Linked DNA regions of Drosophila melanogaster. The gene in region 1 interacts genetically with each later gene. Each region holds a gene or a part of one and is shown on either strand. Other genes may lie near its edges.

The links. A genetic interaction does not mean that the proteins touch.
Region 2: of Drp1 (region 1) and Opa1, changing one suppresses a phenotype caused by changing the other (phenotypic suppression), as found in Drosophila melanogaster (one study listed by BioGRID).

What each region holds. Positions count from the first base shown.
Region 1 is NT_033779.5:2,579,641-2,588,515, reverse strand, and holds Drp1 (dynamin related protein 1), read left to right. Parts: upstream 1-3,085; 5' UTR 3,086-3,244; coding exon 3,245-3,346; intron 3,347-4,114; coding exon 4,115-4,259; intron 4,260-4,317; coding exon 4,318-4,982; intron 4,983-5,197; coding exon 5,198-5,649; intron 5,650-5,704; coding exon 5,705-6,050; intron 6,051-6,113; coding exon 6,114-6,342; intron 6,343-6,406; coding exon 6,407-6,618; intron 6,619-6,677; coding exon 6,678-6,734; 3' UTR 6,735-7,235; downstream 7,236-8,875. Other genes in the region: Arpc5 (Actin-related protein 2/3 complex, subunit 5), read right to left, coding at 7,630-7,872, 7,935-8,147; ND-B17.2 (NADH dehydrogenase (ubiquinone) B17.2 subunit), read left to right, coding at 8,562-8,656, 8,720-8,875.
Region 2 is NT_033778.4:14,228,640-14,238,155, forward strand, and holds Opa1 (optic atrophy 1), read right to left. Parts: upstream 6,811-9,516; 5' UTR 6,676-6,810; coding exon 6,647-6,675; intron 6,549-6,646; coding exon 6,251-6,548; intron 6,190-6,250; coding exon 6,054-6,189; intron 5,921-6,053; coding exon 5,804-5,920; intron 5,704-5,803; coding exon 5,629-5,703; intron 5,568-5,628; coding exon 4,978-5,567; intron 4,923-4,977; coding exon 4,549-4,922; exon of another isoform or gene 4,491-4,548; coding exon 4,326-4,490; intron 4,265-4,325; coding exon 4,077-4,264; coding exon of another isoform or gene 4,063-4,076; exon of another isoform or gene 3,326-4,062; coding exon 2,853-3,325; intron 2,788-2,852; coding exon 2,669-2,787; intron 2,606-2,668; coding exon 2,521-2,605; intron 2,461-2,520; coding exon 2,256-2,460; intron 2,200-2,255; coding exon 2,135-2,199; 3' UTR 1,972-2,134; downstream 1-1,971. Other genes in the region: CG8468 (uncharacterized protein), read left to right, coding at 1-656, 774-928; Snrk (SNF related kinase), read right to left, coding at 7,441-8,136, 8,200-8,865, 8,936-9,062, 9,118-9,243, 9,309-9,516.

The DNA of each region.
Region 1 (8,875 bases):
TGTCTCGAGGCTTTCCGTCGAGGTTTTCCGCCACAGCTGGAGTATGCAAATGCTCCCCACTTTTCCGCCCACACTTCTAATTCCGCTTAGCTGCAAATCCAATTAAACATGCAGCCAGAGCATTGCCAAAATATAAATAAGGGAAACATGTGTGCGATACTTTCGCACTTTCCGCAGTAGAAGGCAGCAGGCATCTGGCAGCCGCGTTCCCAGGCAGATTAATGGCCAAGGAGCTGGGTGCCAAGAGCGGCGACATCTGCTAAATGGTAACCACATCCTGCCAAGATCCGGGGCGCACCGAAAAACCCAACCAAGCGGCTGCACACATGGCCTTCATAATTCAACCCACTTGATAGAGTCGGTTATGGCCACACTTCATGGTCCTTTAATGGGTTTAGTAATGGTAATGATGAAAAAAGAGATATATCTAATTTATTATTATGCATATATATTCAGTTATTGAATAAAAATGTATTGTATACTTTCAACCAAGTTTTATATTAAAATGTGCGAGAGCATAAAGAGCAACCTCCTTCAAACCGCATCAATCAGCAATTATATCGCATATTTCCCAGCTCGCGCTCCGCATTTTCCAGCCAGACCACAAGCTGTGGAACATTCATGATTCCGGGAATTGCAAAGGGGCAAAATCAAAGTTCATTATTGCAGCAGTTGTGGCGAGAACGTACGGAGAAGTTTCCGCCCCGTAACGCCGCCTACTTCAAGGGCTCTCCATCCATCCGTCGTATTCACATGGCGTATACGCAATATAAATACGTAATTGCATGAAACACCATGGAAAACGGGCAGAGCCATTGATCAACTGGCAGTCAGCCGAAAGATGAAAGCCGAGTCCCGAAAACCAAAGGCATCGAGGCACAAAAGAGCAAAGCACCAAAGGAGCAGGATGAGCAGGAGGAGCATGAGGACTTCGTGGTTTCCACCAGGGCAGAGAAGCTCATCAACTAAATGCAAAGTTCTTGCAGGCTGGCTGCAGAACAAGAATAATTGACGACGACATGGCGATGGATAATGAGGCGACTACCCATCCTGCACACACGCAGGATATGACAGCGAAAGGCTGGCGACTCCTTGCAGCACTATAATCCTGCGGAAACACTTGAAAATGATGGATGAAAATTATCGCTTTGTGCAACGCATGCAAATGTGCAAAATTACTTTCACATGATTAATGCTCCACCGGAGGGCAGAGGCTGCTCCAGCTTCAACTACACCATCATCATCACCATCATCATCATCATCACTCCATAATTAATCGCGCCAAGTCGAAAAGCGGCAAAAGAAAGCCAGAAAGCAGACAATGGCTGAACTTCATTTGAAATTCATATTTTAAGTATTCGTCAGTCAATTAGAGAGCCAAGGACCCTGACACCGAATTTGCATTCAGCCGTGAAATTATCAAATTAATATTCCGGCCCCGAGAAGGGGGCGTGCCCCATCACCATCACCCCCGCCCGTCTTTCGCAATAACTGTCAACTCAAACTCAAGAAGTTTTCCACGCCGCACATTTCGGCAAGTTGTCAAGCCAGAGATACGAAAGTTCCCCGGTCCAACAATGCCAATTTGATGGGGGAAATTTTGAAATATTTATACACACTCAAACACACAGATACAGCAGAGGTGTGCTGGCAAAGTTGCCAGCCAAATTTGTTAATTGGAAGCCGAAAGTTTATCTATGAAAATGCTAAAGAAGCCCACTTGCAGTTCGAAAAATGCCAGAATGTATAATAATGGGGCAAGAAATGAGATTAGTCAGTATCCCAAACTTGAATGATCAAAGTTTCATGGATGGCGTAACTAATTTTGAAGTGGAATGATTAAATTTTGAAACTACTTATAATCGATATTACCATCCTGCGATCGGAACAATAAACTCAAACAATTCGATACTTCAATGGGATTGTAAATAATAAGTCATCTTAAATCATCCCAAGCATATTCAAATCGCTTGGAAGCCATTAAAGAGATAAGCGAGCATTGCAAAATGATATCAGCCAACTTGTAACAATTTTCATTGTCATTTTCAATTGGGAGCAGCCAGGAGGAGCTGGCCAAACAACAATGGGAACTGTTATCAAATAGGACACATGATGCATACGTGAGTGGGGGCTTCTATGCACATGGATGTGGTACATACATATGTACGTCCAATATTCTGGTCCATTTGGGCCAGGCCACTATCGAAATTTGAATGCTTAGTGTACCGGGCGACAAGCATCCTCGAACATTGAAATAAACCGATAAAAACGACAGATGAGCCCGGCATTTCGCCCACAATGCATGCCAGGCAGGCAATCGAGTGTGGTCGAGAAATAGTCGGGTAGCCCCCTTTTTGGTTTTGGGGCACAGCTCACTGCCCTGCAATTCTTATATAAAACCGGGGAAGTCCCCATCCCAACCGCCCATGCAAATCTCGAGCACTTGAGGCCGGTCCCCAGATTATTCCTTTTCCCTATTTTGGGCCACGTGGTCTGACCACTTGGCGGCTGCTCCAACTTTAATATTTCTTCGTTTAAATAGTCCTTTATTTCTGCAGAAATTAGACAAAATCAAAGACAATATATTTATGCTATATATTCATTTTCACTGTTATGTCTGTAAGGGTATTCAGAAATGCGCCTACTCTGTGTAGTTTTTCAATTTAGTTAGATACGATGAATATATTGAGATTCTGCCAGATTTAGATTGTGGTGTGTGAGTTTTCAGATTGGTTTGTAAGGACCCCTTTTGTTTGGTCCATATCAATACAAACTCCTCATGTGCATATAAAATAAGTAAAAAGGCAAAATATGAAACAAAACAAAAAGAAAAGGACATTCATATTTTGTAGCTATTGGGGGATTTTAAGTAATGTTATGAAATCATACCTTTCTTTATTTGTGTAAAGTATTCAATACACGCAACTAACGGGCAAAATTGGAAACACCCAAAAATTCAATTTTGGCGCGCACAGAAAGCTGCCCTTTTGGAATAGATTGGCAGCACTCTCGCGCACGGTGGCAACCTCGTCTAGGGACTGCCGATAGCAGCAAGTTCCGCCCGTGTGGCAACACCGCTAGAAAAACAGTCTAAATTTGCTGTGCAACACTGGCGGTTTGCAAAAATAATTTCGGTGCTCGCGTCAATCAGAAAAAGCCGAAAAGAACGGCCTTTATGTGCGCGAATTAATCGCCAGCCGAGTGGAACGCGACCAAAGGAACCCAGCACACACACACACTCAGAATGGAGGCCCTAATTCCGGTCATAAACAAGCTGCAGGACGTCTTCAACACCGTGGGCTCCGACTCCATCCAATTGCCCCAAATTGTTGTTCTAGGCAGTCAGGTAAATGCAAACTGCGAGGTGCCCAAAAATCCGCACACCGAAAACCATAAATCCCCGAGCTCCGTAAAAGGAGTGGCAACTGAGAACCGGAATATGGCGCAGCTATCTGAAACCCCAACTCTTGCGCTTTTCCAGTGACCGCAAAATTATATAACTGAGTGCGTTTGCCGGCATTTTAGTTGTGTTTTCAGTTTGTAGCAACATTTCAGCCAGCTTTCGCTCTTCGCGGCGTCCCCATTGTTTATATAATTATTTTTGGCACTGCTCGCCGCCGCCATGGAAAATCAATATGCCACAGTATTATACAAAAACGAAAAAAAAAACAGCTGCTGGCTGATGTGACACATTCCCCCACGAACACACTGCAAAAAACAAACGTACACATGTGTGACTTCGATAGTTGTGTCTGTATGTACATATATGTGTGCATGTTTCGATCGCTGGCTTAATTGCACTTTGATTCACGCTCTGGAATTAAGTCAGTATGACTAAATGCTCGCGCAACTCATTGATACCGAGTACAGCGGAGCTCCAATATGTTGAATCTGTGCCATTTCTTACCATTCATTTGGTTTTCTGTTGCAAAGGCTTAAGTTTGAGAAATTTGCAATCACAGAATGGCTCCCATTGCCAGATAAGAATAGTTAATCTGCGGTTTTCCAAGTGTTTCCTCGCTGCAAACGCTTGGGAGCCACCTTATCAGGTCATCGTCTTTTATCAGCCGTCGTTTTAACTCCCAGTAATACATACATTTCCCCTTTTTTCCAGAGCTCCGGCAAGAGTTCGGTGATCGAGAGCGTTGTGGGACGATCCTTTCTGCCCCGTGGAACTGGTATTGTGACCCGTCGCCCACTGGTGCTCCAGCTGATCTACAGCCCACTCGATGATCGCGAGAATCGCTCGGCGGAAAATGGTGAGTTGAGACGTCAGAAGTTCGGGAAAACCCAATTGCTAAACCACATAACACTTAGGTACGTCCAATGCCGAGGAGTGGGGCCGCTTCCTGCACACCAAGAAGTGCTTCACGGACTTTGACGAGATCCGCAAGGAGATCGAAAACGAAACGGAGCGGGCGGCGGGCAGCAACAAGGGCATCTGCCCGGAGCCCATCAACCTGAAGATATTCTCAACGCACGTGGTCAACCTAACGCTGGTGGATCTGCCCGGCATCACCAAGGTCCCGGTGGGCGATCAGCCGGAGGATATCGAGGCGCAGATCAAAGAATTGGTCCTCAAGTACATTGAGAACCCGAACTCCATCATTTTGGCTGTGACGGCCGCCAACACGGACATGGCCACCAGTGAGGCACTCAAGCTGGCCAAGGACGTGGACCCCGATGGCCGGCGCACTCTGGCCGTGGTCACGAAACTGGATCTCATGGATGCCGGCACCGATGCCATCGACATCCTGTGCGGCCGGGTCATTCCCGTCAAGCTGGGCATCATCGGCGTTATGAATCGCTCGCAGAAGGACATCATGGACCAAAAGCACATCGACGATCAGATGAAGGACGAGGCCGCCTTCCTGCAGCGCAAGTATCCCACTCTGGCCACCCGGAACGGCACGCCCTACTTGGCCAAGACCCTCAACCGGCTCCTGATGCACCACATCCGGGACTGCCTGCCAGATCTTAAGGTGAGTCTAGTCTATAAAGACTGCATATCGATTTCACAAACTATGCGAGAATCTCAGGCTAAAACTTCAAGAAAATGTAAAAAAATGAAACAAACTTGGCACTCGATTATAATCGATCTTTATATTTTTCTATGGTAAAGCAAGAGAAGATTAATGGCAGATAAGGTTAGAATAGCATGTTGAATTCAAGAGAATGACTTCCCATATTCTTGCAGACTCGCGTCAACATCATGGCCACGCAATTCCAATCGCTGCTGAACTCCTATGGCGAGGATGTCTCCGACAAGAGCCAGACCCTGCTGCAGATCATCACGAAGTTCTCCAGCGCCTACTGCTGCACAATCGAGGGCACGGCCAGGAATATCGAGACCACGGAACTGTGCGGCGGTGCCCGGATGGGCTACATTTTCCACGAGACCTTCGGCCGCACCCTGGACTCCATTCACCCGCTGGCGGGTCTGAGCAAGATGGACATACTGACAGCCATCCGGAATGCCACTGGTCCACGCCCGGCTTTGTTCGTTCCGGAGGTCTCGTTCGAACTGCTAGTGAAGCGCCAGATTCGCCGCCTGGAGGAACCCTCCTTGCGCTGCGTGGAACTCATTCACGAGGAGATGCAGCGCATTGTTCAGCATTGTGGCAACGAAGTGCAGCAGGAGATGCTGCGGTATGTGAACTCATGATAGCTGAACGCCAAAGGTTTTCATCGATCTCCCCTACAGCTTTCCCAAACTGCACGAGAAGATTGTGGACGTGGTCACCCAGCTGCTGCGTCGACGTCTGCCGCACACCAACGTGATGGTGGAGAACATTGTGGCCATCGAGCTGGCCTACATCAACACCAAGCACCCCGACTTCCACAAGGATGCCGCTTTGGTGCCCAGTCTGCTGAAAACGGACAGCGATCCCTACTCACAGATAAATCTGGGGCAGCGGCGGGCCAATACACCGCGAAACCACATGTCGCCTCAGATTTCGTCGCACAGTGCTGGTTCACAGCAGCCGCAGCAGCAACAGCCGCCGCAGCCGAATTCCTCACAGCAGCAATATAGCCAAGTGCATGAGCAGGTGCCAGCGGAATCTTCATTTATGTATGCAACCTATTTAACCCATTTTCGTTTCGCTCTCTAGAACCACGTCGCCGAGAACTCGACGCCTTCGATGGCCAGCACATGGCTGTCAAACATTTTACCGCCGGCACCAACGCGTCCGGACAGCATTGAGAACTCGACCAACAACACTCCGGTTCACAATAACATCGTGAGTCCAGTGAAGCCGGTCAATCTGCTGCCCGATGTGCCGGCCAACCACAATCCACGTCGCCTCACTGACAAGGAGCAGAAGGATTGCGATGTCATCGGTGGGTTGCACTTAACTCGGGCCACTTAAAGACCTAACTCAATCTGACTACTTTTTGTTTTTAGAACACCTGATCAAATCGTATTTCTACATTGTGCGCAAATCCATACAAGACTCGGTTCCAAAGGCCATCATGCATTTCTTGGTTAACTACGTTAAGGACAACTTGCAGAGCGAATTGGTTACACATCTGTATAAGTCGGATAAGGCTGAAACCCTGCTCAACGAGTCCGATCACATTGCAGTGCGCCGAAAAGAGGCGGCAGATATGCTGAAGGTGCGCTTGGCTAGCTTATACTTAGCTTGACATCGTTTTAAACTTACTTTTGATTTCAGGCACTGACGCGAGCGAATCACATCATCAGCGAAATCCGCGAGACCCACATGTGGTAGGCTGGTCAGCGATTGGAGCAACCCGTTTCGACTTAATAATCCCCGCATATAAGCAACATAAAAACTATTTATTGAAGACGCGTTCAAAGAGAACGAACTCCTTTGTTAAATGTTCCCCCTACCGAGCACTGAAATATCATCAAATTGCATGCGACCCCCAAATTCTGGGCCTTTCATTTAGCCAACTCGCATTTCTATTCGCCTGGCATTTGTCTATCATCGAGCCTCTCCGCTTTTTAAATTAATAAGAAGTTGTAGACGCCGTGATTGGTTTGATTAGGTTACTCAAAGCACTTATTACACATTGAATAGTCAAATAAAGCAGAAAAGGTTGATTCAAACATAGTAGATGTGTTTTCTGTCACGGCAGCTAAAAGTTTACGAAGGCAACGTCATCATGTTGAATGATACACCTGGAATTTCGATTAGATAAGCCATTATGTTCGTAAAGTTGCTAGGCTCAGTCTGAAGATTAATAAGTGTTTAAATCTGATAGGAGTTGAATCTTCCTGAGTTTTGAGATGCGTAGCAATTGCTTAGCCTTACTAAAAACAAAATTTTTCTTACAAATTATGTTACATGTAGGTGTGGCTTGAGTGAACTAGAAGTACGTTCGTTCCCCTGATTGAAATCACTGCCACTCACCTTTCGTAATAAAAACTTTAATACTTGGATACCAGTTAAAATCTAATTTGGAAAACGTCATTTGTATTGCGGCGAAGAAACAGAAGTGGGTTCCAGCTGGGGCGTGGCAAATCCCGAAGATAAGGATGTGGTGTCCAGTGCTCCAATCCTGTGTTGATTAAATGCTCCGCGATGCGTATGAATCGGTTTATGGGGCAGGGAACAGTTGGGGTAGTGACTCTATGACCGCCTTTGGCTGTGCTGATCTCCTCTAGGCGCGATTTGTGTCGGACAGCACGCGGACAATGCAGCCCACTCCTCCCTTGGCGAAGGCCTTCTCATGCCACTGCAGCAGGTGGCCACTGGAGCCCTCCGAGGGGATCTCGAATCCCCGATATATGTACTTCATCAGCACGTCTATTAGGTCGTTCTGGTCCAAGGTGTCGATGGCCTGGTCCATTTGCGTCGACTTGATGGACAGCAGCACCCGCAGCGTGATGTTCAGGGCGTGGTCCTGCAATGCAAGGAAGGATTAGCTTTATAGGGTTCTCGATACGAATAGGTGTGGCTACCCACCTTCACATTCTGGTTCTTGCAGCGCAGCGGGGCATTCTGCAGCGCACTCAGGAGCGCCTCCACGGATTTTCCCTGCGTCAGCAGCGTCGTAATCTCGCTCTCATCCGGACCGGCTGCCGCGCTCTCCACCCCATCATCCTCCCGGAAGTTGTCCTCATTGTACTGGTCCACATCGATCTTGCGGAACGCGTTGCTGGACGTGTTTTTGGCCATGTTTTCGCTAAATTCCCACCACTTTTCTCTACAAAAATATGAATCACAAAATCCGGCAAGGCAAAACAGATGAGTGGCAGTGTGGCCGAACCTCAGAAAATACTAGCTGCAGTATTATTACCAAAGCGCCAATAATGCACAGGATACATCCAAGCAACAAAAAACATGAGTTTCACAATCACTTATCTCAGCAAATGAAAGTCTAATGAGCTTTAAAAATATTTTGAGAGTAGGTTTCGACCAATCTTGTTCCATTTTTACTTCAAAGAATATGATTGATATGATTCAGTATTTCTAGCTGGTGCTTTTGACCTCTCCTGGCCACACTGCAGATTGACTTTGTTTTTGTTTCAAGTGAGTCCAAGAAAATCGAAATTATTTACGTTTAATATATTTCTGGGTTTTCCCGGCAGCATGGCAAAGTTTTTGGGCATCAACCGGCTGACAAAGCTGTTCCAGATGGTCCGCGAAGCCGGAGGACTGAAGCAAGCGTACCTGAAGCTCTATAGGTGAGTCTCGATCTTATATAAGATTGCTCCAATCCTGAAAACCGCATATGCGCTATTTTCCAGGAACGATGATCTGAAGATCGGAACCCTGGTGGGCATCGACAAGTACGGCAACAAGTACTTCGAGAACCCGTACTACTTCTACGGCCGCAATCGCTGGATCGAGTTCGCCCCCCACGTCAACATGGACTACGATGGATCCATGATTCCCGCCGAGTG
Region 2 (9,516 bases), on another chromosome or scaffold:
CAGACCAATGTACCGAGACGATATCTTCTTCTCTGGATCTCTGACCAGGATTCCGCAATACCAATCGCAGACCTCGCTGGCCTACCACATGTCTGTGACGCGTCTGCCCACCAAGCAGGACATGCTGGAGGATCGGCAGAAGGGATGCCGCATCTGTCCGGAGGCAGTGCGTCGCACCTTATCCACCATGTTGGACACCACGCTGCTCAAATCGCCCGCCTTCATGTGCCTGGCCTTCAGCGGCTTCCTCACCATGATGGGCTTCTTCGTGCCTTTTACCTTCCTGGTGGATCGCGCCAAGGCAGCGGGTATGGATGAACAGGCGGCCTATGGAGTGCTCTCCGGAATTGGCGTTGTAAACACATTTGCTAGGATCGTGTGCGGATCCCTTAGTTCCTTCCCTGCCGTAAAGCCACTCTGGCTGAACAACTTTGCCCTAACCGCCGGCGGCATCGCTACCATCTGCAGCGGCATTGTCATCAACACGGCCACCCAGTGGACATTCGCCCTGTTCTTCGGTATCTGCATTGCCTGCTTCTCCGCCCTGCGATCCCTGATCGCCGTGGAGCTGATCGGACTGGAGAAGCTGACCAACGCGTACGGATTCCTGATGCTCTTCCAGGGATTGGCAGCTACTTTCGGCAGTCCCATTGCAGGTGAGTTTCCGACAGCAGTGGCAATGGTATAAACTAAATAGTTTTGGCCAATTAAAGAGGTTCTTAGAGATCGGATGAAACTTGAACTAAAGATTTGTTTATTCATTTATCCAACAGGTGGCCTCTATGTGATGACAGGCAGCTACAACGCCGCCTTCTACTTCGCTGGTGGCCTGATCCTCCTCTCGGCCTTCCTGTGCTACCCGCTCACCTGGGTCAGCCGATGGGAGGAGCGGCGCAACGAGAAGCTAACACCCCTGCCGGCGGCCTAAGGAGCTGCTTGGATCGGAGCGAATGAAGACATGCCAGACAGCCTGAACACCTCGCAGTCATCGCAGCCACAACTATCTTCGATAGCACCTTTCGGTATTGGCAACATTAATTGACAATCACTCATCCTGTCGAAGGAACTCCCGATTTCGGAGGGAAGCGAGTGCGAAAGCGTGTTCCGAGTACTTAATACAATTAAGATAAGACTAATCGTAATGTTGTGCCTTCAGCGATATCGAGTGCCTACCACACACACCCCTAATACCACACAACCAACCCTATCCCAAATCACACGCATACGAGCAGAGTGGAGCGCGAGTGTAAATTATGTTTCTATAAGCTTTAGTGGAGGAGCCCATATGTGGACTAGAATTTAGCAGCTAGACTAAGCGGAGGATCGGAGTGGAGGAGAACCGAACACATTATTAATATTATTACGATAGCCTTAAGCAGCTGAGCACATGGCTATGGCTGGGCCACAAGTCGACTGCCAAGTTAAGAATCGTTTGTTGAGTTATTTAACATGATAGGGAACGAGCATTTGTTTACCTTGTAAGAGATATGGTACTGCACCGCAATCACGGACTTGTTATGTTACATAGCTAGCTACATACATAGTTAGCTAGATATACGTTTATCAATCAAACAATCAATCAATTAGAGACGCGGCCAGACGATCGGTCGGGGTTAATGCACCCACCACCGATCTCGATACCGATACAGATGCCGGCGCATCGCGGGATTAGCCGATCGTGGACAAAACGAAACAAACAATCAACCGCACGATGAGGCATCTGGTAAAAGTGCTGTGCTCTTATGCAAACCGATTTAAATATATATGTATATATATATATTACACGATACAGATTCAGAAACACACACGGACCGCTACATACTCAGCACGATGAGTGCGTTTCGCGTTAACGTTTATCAACTACAATTACATTAAAACAGAATGAATGATTTATATTACATTTAAATTAATGAGTTTACATTGCATTGCATGCGACATAAGGTTACACTTCATAAACAATAAAGACGATTTCAATAATACGAACTAACGATCTATTTGTTTATTACTTTCGGAGCACAAAGTATGCTTAACTAAGGGGCTCAAGCGTGACTATGAACAAACATTTCAAATGTGGTCTTAAACTATCAAGTTAAATAAGTAACGCCTCGGGTGTTGTGTCTTTGGTCATGGCACACTACTTTTCCTGATTAAGTGAATTGATGAACTCCTCCAGCTTCTCTTGGATCTGCCGCACTTTGACTGTTGAATTGAAAGCAATTAAATTGGCGCCAAATTCAATTAAGCAAAGCACTCACTTAGCTCCTCGGCTAGTAGCACGCGCTTGCCGGTGAGCAGGTAACCCTTCTTCTCCTCGTCATCGCTGAACTCGTCCAGCACCGCTTTGATCTCCTTGTCCAGCCGCCGCGCCTCCCGATTGATTACTTGCTGTCTCAGTGCGTTGCCTGTTATCTTGATCACCTGCTGGATGCGCCAGAAGAGCACGACGTCGCTGCAGGATATCTGAGAAAGCAATAAGTTAAGTAAATTGGTTCAGATAAGAGGGAAAACCTTAACACTTACCTCACACTCGGCTCCCTGCTGCGTGTAGAGGTAATATGCTTTGCGGCAATCCTTTGCCCTCTGTAACGCCTGCTGCAGAAAGTGTCTGAAAAAAGAGACATATGTGCTAACTGATAAGCAGTCTAAATGGTTTAGCATTACAACTTACTTTCTGTAGACCGGGAACCACGTTTGCCTTATGTAGTCCGTGTCCACATCCACGTTATCACGCTGAAGGTTCTTGCGAACCGTAGTCAGTTCATCATGGGTCAGGGTGGGCAAATGTTTCTACCAACATAATGTAATGCGTGTAAATGAGGAATAACTAACTATATAATGTATACTACCCATACCGTATCGTTTTTGAGTATTTTGTCGAGTTCGTTCTTAACGCTTCGCCTCTTCTGCTGATCCTGCGTCAGGTACTGCCAGTGGGTAATTCGTCGCATTTGGCCGGGACCAAACATTTGTGCTAAAGTCTCCTCCGTCTGCACGAGCTTGGCATTCACCGAACTCTCCAGGAACTTAACCGCCGAATCCCACTCCTGCTTGTCGTGCACGAACCGATCCTCCAGCGTATTCAGCTGGATAACGCGAAGCATGTCGATGGCCTTGTCCTCCCAGCTGTGCCGACGTATAGCCTCATCCACCACCGCAGACTTCAACTGATCGAAGATGCCGTCGTGATCCTGCGCCTTCTTCGAACGCTCCATCAGCGATATGAATTCCTGCTGCAACGCTTCCCAGCCAGCTTCCACCGACTTAGCGGGCAGTGCCTGCTCGGCCCACTGGCGCAACTTGATGTCTACCATCGTGTTGAAGGAATCTATAAAGAGCATAGTAATCGTATGAAATTAGTTGAGCCAAATTAACTAGACACACAACTACGGGGGGAATGATAAACAAAGCGACGAAACATTCAGATTCCTAACTCGATAACTGCAATTTAATTCAATTAGACATTGATTTGGATGAATTCATTGAGCAAATTAACAGGTCTGTCATAAAATGCTAAATAAACACAAGCTGAGCGATGGCTTAAACGGGTTTTTCGGTCATAAATCGCTAATATCGCATACGTTTTTATAATGTGAACATAAACCAAAATCTGGTTTCGGTACAGGTGCTCGTAAATCTTCGTTATAAGCGACTTTCCGGCACATGATCGCAACGCAGAACCTGTGACAATCCCGGGTCACTATTTTGGGGCAAAGGCAAACGGTGTTAATGGGATTCGAAATCGTCCGCCGGGGAGTACACATTAAATTTACACTTGTGATTCAAGAAATGTTGCAGGAATATCAGTCAAACCGGTTTGAAATTATTTAACGCATGTGATTCCCTTGCACGGGAATTCGACGCTGAATGCGGGCCATGATAAATACAAAATTAAACAAAACATTTAAACGACACAACGTTTTGCAGAGACACGTGAGGTTCGAGGCCAAGCCATATCTTCTTGCAAGAAACACACACAATGACGGAGCACACAAGGCGGGCGATTGGATGGACGTGCCCCCATCGATGACGTCGGCGAAATCTGCTTACAACCTACACTTAGTACTACAAAATATTACTTTGAGAACCTGACTGTGCAGCGGGCAGATAGATGCTTTCAAACACATAATTGGAGAGCTTTTCCCATAGCTTGGTGCTCAGAGCGTCGTCCCACTTTTTAGCGGAGATTTGCGAGAGCGTTACCACCTCGTCCAGTATCTCGCCCTTTGCCTTGTCGAACAGCTCATCTCGACCAGACTCGCGCAATCTAAAAGAGTATACCTCAAATGTTATAGATCTCTTATATTTTTTAAAACATTTTTACAAACCTGGGGAAGTTATTTTTCCATTCGGTTTCCAGATTAAATCTAGTCGCCTTAAATGCATCCGCCTGCTGCTCAATGGTTTCCCTCACCATCTTCCAGAAACGATCTGACACCGCCAAGCTCAGATTGCGGCTGGTCACCTGATGGGGCATGATAACCCCTCGACGACTAAGTATGGAGAGAGGTGAACTTTGGAATTTACCAATCACATCCTCTCTATACTTACTGGAAAAGCTTGGAGTTCTTAAAGAAGTCTTCCTCATACTGCCGAATAGCATCTATGCTGTCATCCTTTCGTCCACGACCGGTAACGACGGCATAGTAGCCCAAAGCCTTCATGGGGAAGAGTTTGCCCGAAAGGATTTTCCTTATTCTATCAGGATCGGCGAGCTCCTCGGCCAGATCCACCTTTGTGAGCACAAAAATAGTGCGTCGACCCAAGGGATCGCACTGCATGACCAAGTCTGTCACATTACTGCGCTCAGCGTCCACAGATCCATCCTGAATGCAGAGAATGATGGCGTTCGGATTGCTCATATAATGCTTGGTCATCTGGTGAATGGAATCTTTTGTGTCTGAGGCCATGTCGACAGTCATGGTCTAAAATGATATTAGCATTAGATGTGCGCAGTTTTACTTGTATTGACTTGCTCACCGAAATTATTCCTGGCAAATCGACTAGAACCATGCGTTGCAGACCGGGACCCTTGACCGTCATGGCAATGACTTCATTGCTGACGGTTTTACCACCTCTCACCGACGCCTTCATTCGGAACTCCACATCCCGACGGAGGTCCTGCAGATCAGACTCCTTGGTGAGATCGTATTCCCGGTCAGAGTCACGGAACTGAGCCACATGGTATGGTCCTTCAGCCAGAGTAACTTTGACTGGGGCTCGCGTCATCATCTCTCCACTGCCACGGGGAAAGATGCGAGCCTTAGCAATGGATTCCAGGACAGAGGTCTTGCCGCTGCTCTGATCTCCCACTACCACAACACGGGGTAGGTGATCGGCCATGGTGTAGCCCGTATCGTAGCCGGATAGCTCATCAAGGACCTCAGAGTACATGTCGATCAGGGATTTTTTGATTTTTTTTGCCGTGGTCTTTTTGTTTGTTTTCAGGATGAGGTATTGCTGGCGTAGTTCACGGTTCTCCTTCTCCATCTTCTCCAGCTCCTTTTGGTACTTAATCTGGACGTTCATGATCTCCGTCTGCAGCGTCTCCACCTGGCTCTGGAGTTTCTCTGCGGAATCACAGAAGGATTAGATATAGTATATCTTTCGGCAGGTGTGCAAAAAACCTACCATACTTCTTACGACTCTCATCGGATGTTATGCCTAAAGCGGCCACCGTTGTTTTGGCCTTTAAGTCATCTTTGGCTGCAACAGATGTTAGGAATAAGTCTCGAATGCGGTAGATAGGGATCTCTCACTTTAAATGGTCCCAACGTTGGGAGTCTGTGTAATTTGTGTAACCTACTTTCGACAATCTGAACTCCTTGATAATCGGCCGCCTCGATGGCATCGTCCAGACGACTGTCAAACCAGTTGCGCCATTCCGACAACTTATCCTCGCCCAGCTGCTTGAGCTTTGGATCTACAAGCAAACGCCCCAATAACATCAGTATCAATCAATCAAAACGAAGAGTTCAATGCGAATCTGACCAAGGTATATGACCATTTAAAGTGAGAGATTGAAAGGGCGATGGTAGGTCTACATGGACACTCACCAACTTCGATGGCGTTCTTCACCAGCGAGCCCACCTCAATGAGATTCCGCGAGAACTGGCTCCACCGTTCGCCCTGCGGCATGGCATCCTCCAGCCACTTAAAATTCGGCAGTCCATCCTTCCATTCCTCGTATTTCTGCGGAAAACAAATCATGTCTCCTAAGTTCTATACAAGTTATATAACTTGCGAAACTCACTTTGCTCAGCGACACGCCCCCGCCGATGGCGCCGCCCAGGACGATGTATCGCAGCTTGAGGGCTCCCCGCAGTATGCGCACCACCAGCATTCCGTAACCACGCGACGGCGGAGGCATTTGCCAGCCCCGCGCCGGATTGCCGGCAAGTAGGAACTCCTCGTGGCCACGGTGCCTGCCATTCGAACTGGAGCTCCCGCTATCCTGCGCCCGACGTGGATGGCTGGTGATGCCACAGAGCGTGGAATGATTGCAGCAGGCGACCTTGGTGGAGTAGACAACAGCTTTTCTCGCGGTGCGCCTGTGGGCAAAACACATTGAATGATGAGATTCGCCGATGACGAAATCGTGCAGAAAATCTGCACGTAAGGCTTTCGCGTTTCGGGCGTGGTCTCTCACCGGTAAGTATTTTGATAGATGCGCAACATAATTGCTGGTCAGGATTACAGTTTCCACTTAGTTTACTTTGTTTATTTCCGTGAATAATTCAATTTTCCTGCCGCAAACTCATCTCTGAAAAACTTTACGGGATGTGCTCTGTGTGACCAGAGTTGAAAAGGGTGGCTTGTACTCGTTTGGGGTACCTGCATTAGGTACAATGTATTTTACACGCATCATTTTGTAAAATAAAAGAATATATTTTTGTATATTGTATATTTTTCTTACAATAAAAAAAAATTGCTTGGTGACATCCATCATTGCTTAACTACATCTTAAGAGCTTTAAGTAGTTAAATGTTTATTGCTTTATTTCCTTTACCTACTCTACAACATTTGTGGTGTGTACACACTGTAGTTGGGCGCAAACATTTGAATTGCCAATTTTAGATTGTGCGAGTTGCGAGTTTCATTCCATTTTAATTCGTCACAATTTGTTAAAAAGAAAACAAATAACCTTTTTAGTCAATTGTCATATGGGCATTAATGTATTTTCACTAAATATTGCATTGAGTGATTAGACTTATAATTAACATAAATTAATATATTTAGAATAATTTAAGCGTAATGACGACGACAGACAAAACAATTACGCTACCACTAAATTTAAATATTCTCGCGCTCTTTCCTATATACGGGGGATAACGTTGACGTTTATACGTTTTAATTAATACATGCATATTTTCTATGTAGTTCGCTTAACCGAGTTTCTTTTTAATATTTAGAATGCACTTTGCAAAGAAGTAACTGTGTCTATTAAGAGAAGTTCATCACGGGAAAATATTTTCCCAGCCGTCGGATTTTCTTCATGGTGACAAAGCATTTAGAGCCGGTAACGTGTATTGCTTTGGTAAGGCTTTTATCCTCCAAAATCAAGTCGATATGCTCGATTGAGTTCAGATTATAAATATCTTTTGGTGTTTCGTTGGACTTCTTGCCGTTGGCTTTCTGGCTACTGATGTGGATGATGCTCTGGTTGTGATTGTGATTGAAGTTCCTACTAAGATTGGTATTGTTATTAAAATATTGCTCTTGTTGAAGCGTTGCTTTGGCTGCATTCAAAGTATTCATGATTTGGTCCGTGGCATTTGTGGCGTCTGCCTCCTCGTCGTACTCCTCCTTGGTTTCGGCAACGGAGAATGTGCTAGTGTTTAGGCTGAGTAAAGAATATCTCTGATCGATATGTTGGGTGGACGAGGACGACGAGGATGCTGCCTCGCTCTCCGCGTAGCATCGATGCCGCATCTCGTATTCCTGAGCCTCTGTGATGCGGTCCAGCGACTGGCTCTCGCGAATGCGCCGCCTTCTATTCGTGGAATTTCCTGTTGTAGCTGTGCTGCTATCCGCCAGCTGCCTCTCAGCGTGGGAATGCTTATCAACATGATCCTTGTTGTGCTGTTTCCGATTTTTTTGGCTGTGAGATTTGCGATTTTCATCGGATTTGTTATTTGGCTGTAAGCAAAGAATATAAGTTTAGTAGCTGTCTCACTGATAATTATACAATAATAATCGTACCTCTTTATACTGCGATTGTCCCTCTTTTTTGCCGCTTACTGAGCCGCTTTTGGAGATAAAATTACCCGCATTGCTGGCCGAGCCGGGCGGCGGATATAGCTGATCTTGCGAGTCGCTGGAGTCGTCATGCGAGTCGCGACGATGCATGCGAAACCGCACTGGCGTGTCACCGACAAATTTGTTAATCTTTTTCTTGTTGCGTGTCTTGGTGTCGTCGTCTGAGGCCTCCGAGCTGCTGCATGAAGGCGTCCGAATCTTGTTCAGCTTTGTGCGACGGTGGGTAAGCACCGGATTCTTGCTGCTGCTAGGAAGCGGCTTGAGCTTGCCGATCTCCAGCTCCTTCAGACCACTCAGCGTGTCCTCATCGATCTTGGCACTCTTCTCCATCTGCTTGAGCTTATGGGCCAGCGTTGCATCCACCGAGACGACAATCTTTGTACGTGAATGGCTTGGCACTCCGCTATTAGCTATCTGTTCGCCTTTCGTTTGATTTCCGGGCTCAGAGCTGGAACGCTCATGTATTGACCTACTAAAGGGGGAATCTGAGAAGGCCTCGCGCCGCGACGACGACGTTACCTTCAACTCATTGCCTACCGCCGTGCATTCTGTGGCAGACTCCTCTTCGTCCTCCTCACGCACAATGCTGCACTTGCGACTGCGCTTGTCCTGATAAAAGCACTTGCATTTATTAGATTTACTGCACTTAAAATCGATTGCTAATTGCTAATTAACTTACCGGCTTGCCACCGTCATTGGCAAACTGAGCTGCTGGAGTCACGTTAATGCTGATGGGTACTCCTCCTTTTTGGGCTTCGGTTGGACTTGGTTTCTCAGGCACTAGCTTGCGACTCGCATCTCCCACTCTGAATATGCATATAAAAGATTAAGAATCCAAGGTGGTTGTTATTTTAAACTCACTTCATGCTGGCATCGTTGAGCAGCCTCTGTTTTTGAGCCAGCTCTTCTCGTCGCCGTCGCAGACGTAATTCCGCCAACAAAAAATATGTGGCTGTTATATGATTGTACTTATTTTTGTCAAGAGCTCTGTAATGACGTCACTTGGTGTTAGCAAGACAAAATTGATTTATTATTTGTGCTATTGTACTCACTGCAATATCTCTTCCTTGGACGCAATGTTTCCGTTTATCATTTTTTGTATGATAAAGGCGTGATCCTCTTCGCCCAGCTGTTCGCGACTGACCAAAGGCAGAAAGTGCTCTGAGGTGGAGGTCGTCGAATCGGGCTCATCGATGGGCTTTAGCCAAGCCGATGAAGCAATCTCTTCCACAGTGGCCCGTTTCTTTGGATCCCGCACCA